Linked DNA regions of Anolis sagrei. The protein of the gene in region 3 binds, or shares a complex with, the protein of the main gene of each other region. Links are inferred from orthologs where the notes say so. Each region holds a gene or a part of one and is shown on either strand. Other genes may lie near its edges. The genes, in order: NRP1, SEMA6A and PLXNA2.

Region 1 (3,743 bases), on a different chromosome or scaffold from region 3:
ACCCCCGACAGATGGCCATCCAGACTCTGCTTAAAAGCCTCCAAAGAAGGTGCCTGCACTTGGGGGCAGAGAGTTCCACTGCTGAACAGCTCTCACAGTTAGGAAGTTCGTCCTAATGTTCAGGTGGAATCACCTTTCCTGTAGTTTGAAGCCATTGTTCCCCGTCCTGGTCTCCAGGGAAGCAGAAAACAAGCTTGCTCTCTCCCTCACATATTTATATGTGCCCATCATGTCGCCTCTCAGCCTTTTCTTCTGAGAGCTGTTCAGCAGTGGAACTCTCTGCCCTGGAGTGTGATGGAGGCTTTTTCTTTGAAAGCCTTTAAACAGAGGCTGGATGGGTTGTTGTAGGTTTTTCCGGGCTATATGGCCATGTTCTGGAGGCAATTTTTCTCCTGACGTTTCGCCTGCATCTATGGCAAGCATCCTCAGAGGTAGTGAGGTCTGTTGGAAGTAGGAAAAATGGGTTTATATATCTGTGGAATGACCAGGGTGAGACAAAGGACTTTTGTCTGCTGGGGCTAGGTGTGATGCTGGATGGCCATCTGTCAGGGGTGCTTTGAATGCAATATTCCTCCTTCTTGGCAGGGGGTTGGACTGGATGGCCCATGAGGTCTCTTCCAACTCTATGATTCTATATCCAGCTCTTTAAGCCGCTCCTCAGAGGGCTTGTTCTCCAGACCCTTGATCAATTTAGTCGTCCTCCTCTGAGCACATTCCAGCTTGTCAACATCTCCTTTCCATTGTGGTGCCCAGTCATGGGAGTCCCTTGTGCCAAGTTTAGTTCAATTCCATTGTTGGTGGAGTTCAGAATGCTCTTTGATTGTAAGGGAACTACAATTCCCAAATGACAAAATCAGTCCCTCTCCAACCCTAAAAGTATTCAAATTTGGGCTATCGGGTATTTTGGTCCAGTGAATGAAAATACATCCTGCACATCGGATATTTCCATGACGATTCCTAACAGTAGCAAAATGACAGTTATGAAGTCGCAAGGAAAATAATGTGATGTTTGGGGGGTCACCACAACATGAGGAAGTGCATGAGGAAGGTCGAGACCCACTGGACTAGATGACCCTTTGGGGGAGGTCTCCTCCTGCGAGGCTGTGCGCCTGTGCTGCTGCTGCTGCTGCCGCGCCCTCCTTGCCCCCTTCCCCGGCTCTGCTTCACCTGCCTTGCCGAGACTGGGGCACTCTCCGCCAGGAAGCGTCTCCCCTCGGCGTGCCCCTTCTGCTGCTGCTCCTGTTCCTCCTCTTCTTCCCGTCCCTCCTTCCCCATGAGCCACTCCACCCCTTCTCCGACTCCCTCCTCCACGAATTGGTGGATTGGTGGGCTCGTTCTGGTTGTTTGTTGATCCTTCTTCCTTTTTCGGGTGGGAGAAGGCGGGGACTGGCGGCTCCGGAGGCGGCGGCTCCTCTCTTATTATTGGCACCGAGTTGCGCTTCTCTTCCTCAGCCTGCAAGAGAAGGAAGAGCCGCCCGGACGCTGGGCAGAGACAGAGACAGAGAGATACTTCTTGCTCCGCTTCCTCTTGGATTACAGAGCCGACAAGAAGGACATTGGGTGGCCGCTCTTCCTTCCCTTCCCTTGCAGAAGTGTGCCCAAAATCCACATTGGACTCTGTGTGGAGGAGAAGAAGGCAAAGCACCGCCCTCTCCATCAACATCTTCTTCTTCCTCCTCCTCCTTCTCAGACCATCTCTCCAAGAAGGCATCTCTTGGTGCTCCTCTTGCCTCCAAATGCCAGCTGATCGAGAGGCGAAGAGAGCATGAAGTTGGGCAAGAAGTCCTTCTTCTCATTGGCATTGCTTCTCCTTCTTCTCCTTCTTCCTCTCCACAGACAGGCAGTCGTCTCTCCCCGGTGAGACCTTCCTCCTCCTGGAGACGTTTCTCTTCGAGGCAAAGCTGTGAAGGGTTTTGTTTTCCTCCTTCTCCTCCTTCCTCCCTTCTGTTGTGACTTCCTTGCGAGCTTTTCTTTCCCACCCCTTTCCAAGCCAGCTTGGAAATGGCAAAGGCAGTGACGCCTGGAAGAGGAACAAGTGTGGGAAAAGGCAGAGGAAACTGGAGCTGAATGACAGGATGCGGGAGACTTGAGGAGATCTAGTATATCCACACGTCCTTTGCTACCAACGGGACTCTGCTTGCTGCTATTGCTCCTGAAACAGCTTGATGCATATTGCTTGTGTTTTTTGAAACTCCCTTTCCTGGAGGATTTAAGATTGCGTGCGGAAACAGGGATACTCTGTTCTCTTCCTACAATCCTCGAGGACCAAGAAAGGAAGATGGATTGGGGGCTCTTCCTGAACTATGTCGCCCTCACGGCCACCCTTGGCAGGGCTTTGAAGAGCGGTAAGTGGCCACTTTGCATGCTTTCCAGGGTGTATCCAGGTAACTGCCAGGAAAAGGGCCCTTTCCTCTTCTTTTTTTGTTGTGTCAGGAGCGACTTGAGAAACTGCAAGTCGCTTCTGGCGTGAAAGAATTGGCCGTCTGCAAGGACCTTGCCCAGGGGACGCCCGGATGTTTTGATATGTTACCATCCTTGTGGGAAGCTTCTCTCATGTCCCCGCATGGAAAGCTGGAGCTGACAGAGGGAGCTCATCCACGCTCTCGCCAGATTCGAACCTCCGACCTGTCAGTCTTCAGTCCTGCTGGCACAAGGGTTTAACCCACTGCGCGACCTAGGGCTCCCGTGAGATTATTATTATTATTATTATTAATTTCCTGCATTTGTACCCGCCCTTATCCCCCGTGGGGGACTCAGGGCGGCCTAAAGGTTCAAGTCTGCAAGGAGGCACATCACAACATCCCAGATTAGGTGCAACTTTTCTTTTTGTGTGTGTGTGTCCTGTCAGGAGCGACTTGAGAAACTACAAGTCGCTTCTGGTGTGAGAGAATTGGCCGTCTGCAAGGACGTTGCCCAGGGGATACCTGGATGCTTGATGTTTTGCCATCCTTGTGGGAGGCTTCTCTCATGTCCCCGCAGGGGGAGCTGGAGCTAATAGAGGGAGTTCATCCTTTCCTCCTTCCCAGGTAGGTTAAGAAGTCGACCAAAAAGCAGGCTTCAGACTACTCACTCAGAAACAGGACAGATACTACTTTATCACATTAGAGAATGAATCCACTTTCAATCCGGTTGCTGCCTCCCACGGAATTCTGGGGTTTGTAGTTTAAGGAGGAGCCTTTAACAGCTTCACTAAACTACAAACCCCAGAATTCTACAGGAGGCAAAAACCAGATTTAAAGTGGATTCATTCTCTAGTGTGATGTGGTCCATAAAGACTCATACACAAAGTACCCAGAGTTGCACCTAGTCTCACAGGAGCCCTAGGTCGCACAAGGGTTAAACCTTGTGCCAGCAGGACTGAAGACTGACTGGTTGGAGGTTCTAATCCAGGAAGAGTGTGGATGAGCTCCCTCTGTCAGCTCCAGCTCCCCATGCGGGGACATGGGAGAAGCCTCCCACAAGGATGGTAAAACATCAAAACATTCAAGTGTCCCCTGAGCAACACCACAGCTGATTCTCACAAGAGAAACCTCTGGCAATTCCACAAGGTGTCTCCTTTAAAACTGGACAGATGAGTAGTTTTTTTTTAAAGGAGGAGGACTCTTTTCCCCATTCTGTCATTCATTCATTCATTCATTCATTCATTCTTCTTTGGATCTATGTGTAGTATCTAAGAAAGATAGACATGTCCTTTTCTTTAACTTTCTATATGCCTAAACAAAAGAGCTTGAGTTTACAAGATA
Region 2 (3,743 bases), on a different chromosome or scaffold from region 3:
AGTTTGGCATTAAATGCAGAATTAATGCAGTCCTACCGGCTGTTAGGGATGATGGGAGTTGAAGTCCAAAACACTTGGAGGGTTTGCCCATGGAGCTTGAGCATGCCTGATCTAATACCTCGCTTCTTTACTGGGTCTCCTTGCCGAGAGACGCCCCCTCTCAATCCAATTGTTACCTGAAGACAGCGTCTCCTACTCCTGCGCTTCCATGCTCTACTCAATGGGAAGCTGGGAACACACAACCTTCAGCCACACCTCCTTCCAGTGGGGTCCTCGCTCACTCTCCCCTTCCTTCCCCTCCTCAGAGAAGCGTCCACAACCTCTCTCCCTCCTCTCTCCTCTCCCCTTTCCCTGGCCCAGAAGGGCTTGTCTGCAGACAAAAGGAGACGAGGGGGCTCCATGCACAGGAGCAAGGCACACCGGGGGAGGGGGGGGGGGGTGTGAGGAGAAGGGAGAGGCGGCGGTGGTGACGACCCAATTCTAGCGTCGAGAGAGAAAGGCGGGAGACTGGGCCTTTCCTGAGCCTGAGGCGAGACCAGACCACCCGAGCGGGTCACTCCCCTCTTGCCTGGTCTTGTGAGGCGCGCGCCCCAAACGCCCCTCACGGAGCGCTGACCGCGGGGAGAAGGAGCGCCGGCCCCTCCCTCCTTGTCTCCCTCTTTCCCTCCGCCCCGCAGCCCTCGGGGGGCCACACAGGGGAGGCGCCCCAGGCTTGCGTCAACCTCCGTCCTCCCCAGCGTCGGCAAACAAAGCCGGTGAGGGGCGGTGGCAGAGAGAGCGAGAGAGAGAGAGAGGGAAAGAGAGGGAGACACACAGACACCCTCCCACCCACACACCCACCCTCTTGCCCCGAGGGGCTTGGCCGGGCTGAGGCGGCGCAGAGGCCCCGAAGCCTGAGCCTCTCCCCTCCTCCGCCAGGTTGCCCCACTTCCCGGCCGCACATTGTCTGGGAAACAAAGGCTCCACGCCCAGCCTCGCCCCCCGAGGAAGCCTCGTGTTTATATAGAGGGGCCAAGGCGCGTCACTCCCTGGGGTGTTTGGCCTGGGATGGCCAGGCTATCCCGTGTTCCTGGGGGTGTTCCTCTGGGGTGTTGTTTGGCCTGGGATGGCCAGGGCTCTCTCTCTTCCTCGGGTGTGTTTGGCCTGCCTGGGATTGCCAAGCTCTCTCTGACATCGCCTGGCTATCCCGTGTTCCTGGGGGGTGTTCCTCTGGGGTGTTGTTTGGCCTGGGATTGCAAGGCTCTCTCTGACATAGCCCGCTCTGGGGGTGTTCCTTTGGGGTCTTGTTTGGCCTGGGATTACCAGGGCTCCCTCTTTTTCGGGTGTGTTTGGCCTGCTTGGGATTGCCAGGGTCTCTCTGACCTAGCCTGCCCCCCCCCCCCCAAAAGCTCTCCTCAGCCGCCGCCCCTCGCCTCGCAATGGGAAGCGCGAGAGAACATCCCGGCGCGCTTCCTTCCCTCCAAACAAGCGGACTTGGAGAAAAAGGGGGAAAGGAAGGAAGGAAGGTCGGGGAGGGGCGGGAGCGCGGGTCTGTCTCCCGACACACCGAAGGGAACCCAAGCGCCTCTGGGCACGCAGAAGCCCGGCAAGAAGCGCGCGCGAGAGAGAGAGAGGGAGAAGGGGCAGCTCCGCCGCCGCCGCCAACAAGCCCCCTCAGTTTGGCTTTTGCTTCCTCCTGGCTGTTCTCTTGGCTGCCTCCTTGGAGCAGGATCTCCCCCTTCCACGCCCCCTCCCTCCCTCCTTCCCGGGACAAAAAACCCCAAAGAGCAAGAGAGAGATAGGGAGGCAATGCGAGGCCCCGTCCGTACCTCGTCGTCGGTGCCCGGCCGCTTCCGAGGACAGGACTAGCGGATGGAGGGGCGTCCCATGGAGTAATCCGTTTAAGGGGATGGCTCCGCCAAACTCGCTCCTCGGCAATCCTTTGTCATGGTGAAGCGGCGCCCCGAGAGCTTTCCGGGGTGGGGGCACCAGAAGGAGAAGGAAAAGGAGAAGGAGGAGAAGGAGGCTAAGCTTGCCTCGCCTTTGGGGACCGCGCTGAGTTCATCTCCAAGGAAGGAAAGAAGGGAGGAGGATGGGGCCAAAGGCTTGAAAGTCCCCTTCCGAGGGACGGAGAGGTCTGCCTCGCTCCTCCTGCTTCTCCTCCTCCTCCTCTGCCGCTCATGGAAGGGTCCCTCCTCGGGCGGGACAGCGCCAAGCTGGAAAGAGAGCGGGGCTCCCACTCGCGGCTTCCTTCCTTCCTCGCTGCCTCTCTCTCTCTCTCTCTCTCTTTCCCCGCTGCCCTGCCTCTGGCTTCGCAGCGCGAGTGAGTGGAGCCTCCGTCCCAACTCTTCTTCTTTCTGTCACTGGGAAAAGCTTGGCTTGGCGGGAGGAGGTGGAGTCAAAACCCGGGCTGGATCCCGGACTGGGCTCGCGAACTCTTCCTCTTGACAGCGCTCGACTCTGCTGCGCCTGAAGGAGCGCGTGGGGGGCGGGGCTCCGAGGAGGAGGAGGAGGAGGAAAGAGTGAGTGGGGGGGGGGGGGTGCAAGGCAAAGTGAGAGCAGAGCGGACTGGGGGAGGGGGGGGGGGGACCTGGCCTCTTCCCAAACAGGCTTGGCTGGCACCCAGCATTAGCAGCACCACCGCACGCGCATGCGCACACGGGAAAAAAAGAAAGGCACTGGCGAGAGCGATTAATTGGCTGCCCTCCTTTCTCTCCGTCTAGTGAGGATTATGGGGGGTGAAGTGCAGGGGCATGGCATCGGCTTCTCACTCAGGGTTTTTTTTTGTTTTTGTTTTTGTTTTTAGAGTACTGTCGAAGGCTTTCGTGGCTTTCATGCGTTTTCCAAGATGTACGGCCATGTTCCAGAAGCATTCTCTCCTGACGTTTTGCCTGCATCTGTGGCCGGCATCTTCAGAGGTTGTGAGGTCTGTTGGAAAATAGGACAATTGGGTTCATATATCTGTGTAATGTCTGTTGGAGGAAAGGGTGAATGTTGCAATTGGCTACCTTGACTAGCATTGAATGACCGTGCAGTTACAAGGTGTGGATGCTTCCTGCCTGGGGGAATCCTTTGTGAGTTTTTCGGGCCATGTTCCAGAAGCATTCTCTCCTGACGTTTCGCCTGCAACTATGGCAGGCATCTTCAAAGGTTGTAAAGTCTGTTGGAAACTAGGCAAGTGGGGTTTATATATCTGTGGAATATCCAGGGTGGGAGAAAGAACTCTTTTGTGTTGGAGGAAAGGGTTAATGTTGCAATTGGCCACCTTGATTAGCCTTGTGAATTCTGTTGGGAACCAGGAAAATTGGGTTTATATATTTGTGTAATGTCCAGGGTGGGAGAAAGAACTCTTGTCTGTTGGAGGAAAGGGTGAATGTTGCAATTGGCCACCTTGACTAGCATTGAATGGCCTTGCAGTTACAAGGTCTGGATGCTTCCTGCGTGGGGGAATCCTTTGTGAGTTTTCCAGGCCATGCTCCAGAAGCATTCTCTCCTAACGTTTCGCCTGCATCAGTGGCAGGCATCCTCAGAGGTTGTGAAGTCTGTTGGAAACTAGTCGAGTGGGGTTTATTTATCTGTGTAAGGTCTGTTGGAGGAAAGGGTGAATTGGCCACCTTCATGTGCTTATTTATATTGTTTCTTGTATTTTTTTTAATTTTTTTATTGTCGTTGTATCTTGTTTAGTTGCATTGCTGTATTGTTCCTTGGCGTCATGTAAGCTGCCCCGATTAGTATCGAATGACCGTGCAGTTTCAAGTACTGTG
Region 3 (3,743 bases):
TACATACACCAATACAGGGCAACATTGGAAACAGTGCAACTGAAAATAAGGAAGTAATAATTTACACTGTCAGTAGTGAAGCCTGGCATAATTTTTGATTGCTTCTGACAGGCCCATAGCCAGGATTTTGATTGGGGGGGGGGGGGGAGGATCTACTCTAGCAAACCTTTTGTATCATTATCCTAATACCCCCATGCCTATGGGATATATTGAGCATGGTGAGCAGATCATGATATGAATAAACATAACAGTTTAAATAATGTACCAGTAAGGTCTTCTTGTTGACCACCCTGAGAATTTCAGAGGAGGGTTGATGCCCCTCAAGCCCCCCCCCCCCCACACACACACTACATGCCTGGCTTCTGAGAAGATCCACTTTTGAACAGCTGCACAAGTGGGCAAAGACAGTCAGACATGGTACATAAGCACTAGTTATGGATGCCTTGGAATAATTTTTAACCCACATTCATCATTCTTCTTGGAGTGCTGGTATATTATGGGAAGCTCTGACAGAACATGTACAACACCTCCTCATTGCTTTAGAGTGTTTTATGTTGGCGTCCTAACAGCCTTAGAATTCTTTCCAACATCTGTCAACCAAAGTCTTAAATATTATCATGGGGCATTGAAGATGCCAACCTCCTAAGAGAGGAAAGTAAACAAATGCCCAATTGATTTTTCAGTTTTTACGACTCCTTTCAGCATTGTGTCTCTTAGAATAAAACAGACCTCTTTGAAAGACTCTGTGGTCCACTCACTTGTAAAGATTGTTTCCTTTAGCTATATTGTCCCATGCATGAAATTTTCTGAACACACTTAAAGAGCCAAAGGAAGATGATGGCATTTATTTGATGCTCTCAGGGAGTTTAGGATGTTGAGTTTTGCTCCTTGCTTTCTTTGCGCCTAGGAAGTTCAGATTCTTCAGTTGAGGAGATGAGCTGACTATAGAGTTAACAAAGAAGCATCACCAGCAGGAGAGGGGAGAAAGGACTCACTTTTGTGGAATCTGTTCAGATTCTAAAGCAGCATCTGTAACATGTTTCCACAGCAAAAAAAAAAAAAAAAAAAAAACTACCTGTAAGTTTAGCTGGGATGGGGCAAGACTCTACAAATCTAAATGACATGAGCAATAAAGAGTTCCGTAAATAGAATGACTTCATCTTTTTGTAGTGACCATTGCATAGAGTTAAGAAAGGTGTTTGCCAGGTGCTATATATCTCAAAAACCAAACTCTGTACTGAACTTTTATCTTGAGCTAGCTGTTTTCCTTTACTCATATCATGTATATAATAAAGGAATAACCCCACCTTTACAGAGCCAGAGGTTCACATAAGGATTGAGGAGCTCACTATGGGAAATATAACAGGAAATAATTGTTTAAAATATCAACACCCTGCTTTTGAATGGCTATTGCTCTCTATAAAATATAGCTATCATTTGCATGACCAGAGAGGAGAAGTAGGTCATTTACTGAACTTGGTCAGACAGTGTCATCCAGTTGATGAGAGCTCATAAAGTACAATCAGGCAGAGCTGCTAAACTTACCCATTTCTTTGATGACTTACATAAATCCTGCAGAAATGCAAGGAAACAAAACACAGGTGTATGTGCACTCTTGCACGTGTGCAACACATGAACATATAGCAGCCTTGTCTAGTACCTTCTTTGGCTCACATGTTAAACTCACTCAACACAACAGATATCTCTCTCTCCCACCCCTACCCCACCCCACTATAATATCTGTTTGTTCCCTGTCAATCCATGAGTTTTTGTCTAATGCCACTGTGTGCTGAAGTAGGAGCGCTTAACCATCCATACATACCAGAAACTTTGGAAACACTCAAGGCTTGCTCTGGAGAAGACAGTATCCCATATTAGACTGGGCAAACAAGGATGCTAAGTAACCCATCTGTTTGTCATGCAGCAGATAGGAAATTTAAAGGATGGGCTCATTTAGTGTACACATGCACACCTTGGGAGGCAGGTGCTTTGTGCATCACTTCATGGTGTTTGTCATGTGCCTTCAAATCAACTCCAGCTCATGGAGATCTCTCTTAAGGGTTTCTTGGCAAGGTTTTTTCAAGGCAGGCTTGTCATTGCCTTCCTCTGAGGTTTCCCGGTTTGGAATATGGATTTATTCACTCCCTGGAAAGATGTTCTTCAGCCTAGGAAGGTTGCTTTGATAGCCATGTCTCATCAGCCTTTGAAGACTCTGCAAGACCAGCCAGGCTGTCTCAGTGGGAACTCCCCCTTCCTTCCTCCCTTCGGAACCTGTTTGCTTCCTCTAATGCACTTGCCTTCCCCATGTGCAGAGCTATCAGCAACAAGCTAAGCATCCGATTGAGTGAGGAATGGGGCTGGGAGGTTCCCAAAAAATGGAAATCCTTCACCCTCTCGCTGCAGCTGCAAAGAACCCCTGGGGAGTCTTGTCCCCTCTAAAAGAAGGGGTTCCGAAGGGACACGTGTTTCCAGAAAGACAAGCCTAATCGGGGGGTTCTCTGAAAGGCTGATGGAAGCTCAGCGTTGAAGGAGAGGAGCCAATTCCACCAGGAGAAGTGCCCGGAGAGGGCAGGTGGGGACAGCATAGCAACCACCCCCGCCACAAAGACGACACAGGCAGCTATCTATCAAATGGGGTGCAAAAAAAATAAATAAATCCCAAGAGCGTTGGGAAGGCAAAAGCAGCAAGATGGGTGGGAGCGCGGCAATTCTCCTCCCTCCCCGCCCACCCAGTTTGAGCTGGGCATTCGGGTGCGGAAGGGGGCCAGGCTGGTGGGTAACCCTTTGCCACTTACCCGCTCTCCAGACCGGCTCCCGCCGCTTCTCTTGGGGGGCAGCCAGCTTTCTCCCCACGCTGGTGCCACCGCCTCCTCCTCCTCCTCCTCCTCTTCCGAATTAGGGAGCGGTAATCCACACCGAGTCCCGATTCATGGAAACCCACAGCAGGGCACGGATCTGTATTCCGAAAGTGGCGCTGGAGAGGTTCCGGCTGATCTTCCAAGCTGAGGATGGGCAGCTGCTTCTCCCGGCTCTTGCCCACCCTCTGCCTGCCGCCTGGCACCGGCGCTTTCCCGGCAGCCTCGCCTGGGTTTGCCTTCACGCCGCCGCTGGCTTCATGGCTGGGGAGCTGCCTCTGCCTCGCGCCCTCCTTCCCTCGGCTTCACACACACACACACTCTCACACACACACACCCGGCCAGGCAGGCGCACTGGGCTGAGTCTCCAGCCGCGGTGCCAGGGCCGCTGCCTGCCTGACTGCCTGCCTGGTGTGCGCTCCTCGCCGGGCTCCAGGCTGGCACTGCGCTCCTCGCTTTCCCCATCAGCAGCGGCAGCGGCGGCGGCCTCCGCCAAAGCCAGCCTCCTCCTATTACCGTGGATCTCATTAACATACAGTCACAGGGGGTTAACCCTTCCCCAGCCGGCACCTCAAATCCCAGGCCTTGCCCAATTTGCTGCAGTCTCTTCCTCTCTTTCCCCCACCCACCCCACCTCCCTTTCTTTTCTCTCCAGGCGACGTCAGAGCCAAGAGAAATCACAAAAATCGGGAGGGGGGGGGCTTGGCTTGTTGGCTGAGATGGAGAGGGAAAACGAAAGGGGCAGGCATGGGTTTAAAAATAGATCCGGCGGCGTTTGGGTCTGGGGTGGGGGGAAAGGGAAAGGACAGGGGCGAAGAGAGAGTGGGGCGGGGGGGGGGGGGGGCTGTCTGCACGCTGAAACACACTCCGGGAAAAGAATTCGGGATC

What was found.
Region 1: the proteins of PLXNA2 (region 3) and NRP1 are in contact, whole or in part, in a crystal structure (PDB 4GZA), measured with the Mus musculus proteins. The link is inferred for Anolis sagrei from reciprocal best matches to the Homo sapiens genes PLXNA2 and NRP1. Residues at the interface, in NP_032908.2 of Mus musculus: Asp273, Leu274, Phe275, Glu306, Lys341, Gly342, Gln343, Lys344, Gln345, His348, Pro350; in NP_032763.2 of Mus musculus: Glu78, Arg80, Asp81, Lys83, Tyr84, Asp126, Tyr127, Glu128, Thr129.
Region 2: the proteins of PLXNA2 (region 3) and SEMA6A are in contact, whole or in part, in a crystal structure (PDB 3AL8), measured with the Mus musculus proteins. The link is inferred for Anolis sagrei from reciprocal best matches to the Homo sapiens genes PLXNA2 and SEMA6A. Residues at the interface, in NP_032908.2 of Mus musculus: Ala93, Cys94, Tyr95, Pro96, Lys155, Gln192, Asp193, Tyr194, Asp220, Phe221, Val222, Pro229, Ser230, Asp231, Leu386, Lys389, Val391, Thr394, Lys395, Ala396, Pro397, Val398, Leu407, Asp408, Ile409, Asn410, Gln411; in NP_061214.2 of Mus musculus: Arg108, Met109, Lys110, Gly111, Met162, Ala163, Thr188, Phe190, Leu191, Ile193, Tyr198, Thr206, Arg208, His212, Asp213, Ser214, Glu219, Gln266, Arg267, Glu270, Lys271, Lys393.

What each region holds. Positions count from the first base shown.
Region 1 is NC_090026.1:112,929,774-112,933,516, reverse strand, and holds the start of NRP1 (neuropilin-1), read left to right. Parts: upstream 1-1,309; 5' UTR 1,310-2,278; coding exon 2,279-2,345; intron 2,346-3,743. UniProt on the Homo sapiens protein: Cell-surface receptor involved in the development of the cardiovascular system, in angiogenesis, in the formation of certain neuronal circuits and in organogenesis outside the nervous system. Mediates the chemorepulsant activity of semaphorins.
Region 2 is NC_090022.1:243,126,616-243,130,358, reverse strand, and holds the start of SEMA6A (semaphorin-6A), read right to left. Parts: upstream 2,454-3,743; 5' UTR 1,809-2,453; intron 369-1,808; exon of another isoform or gene 177-368; intron 1-176. UniProt on the Homo sapiens protein: Cell surface receptor for PLXNA2 that plays an important role in cell-cell signaling. Required for normal granule cell migration in the developing cerebellum.
Region 3 is NC_090024.1:197,421,526-197,425,268, forward strand, and holds the start of PLXNA2 (plexin-A2), read right to left. Parts: upstream 2,895-3,743; 5' UTR 2,796-2,894; intron 1-2,795. UniProt on the Homo sapiens protein: Coreceptor for SEMA3A and SEMA6A. Necessary for signaling by SEMA6A and class 3 semaphorins and subsequent remodeling of the cytoskeleton. Plays a role in axon guidance, invasive growth and cell migration.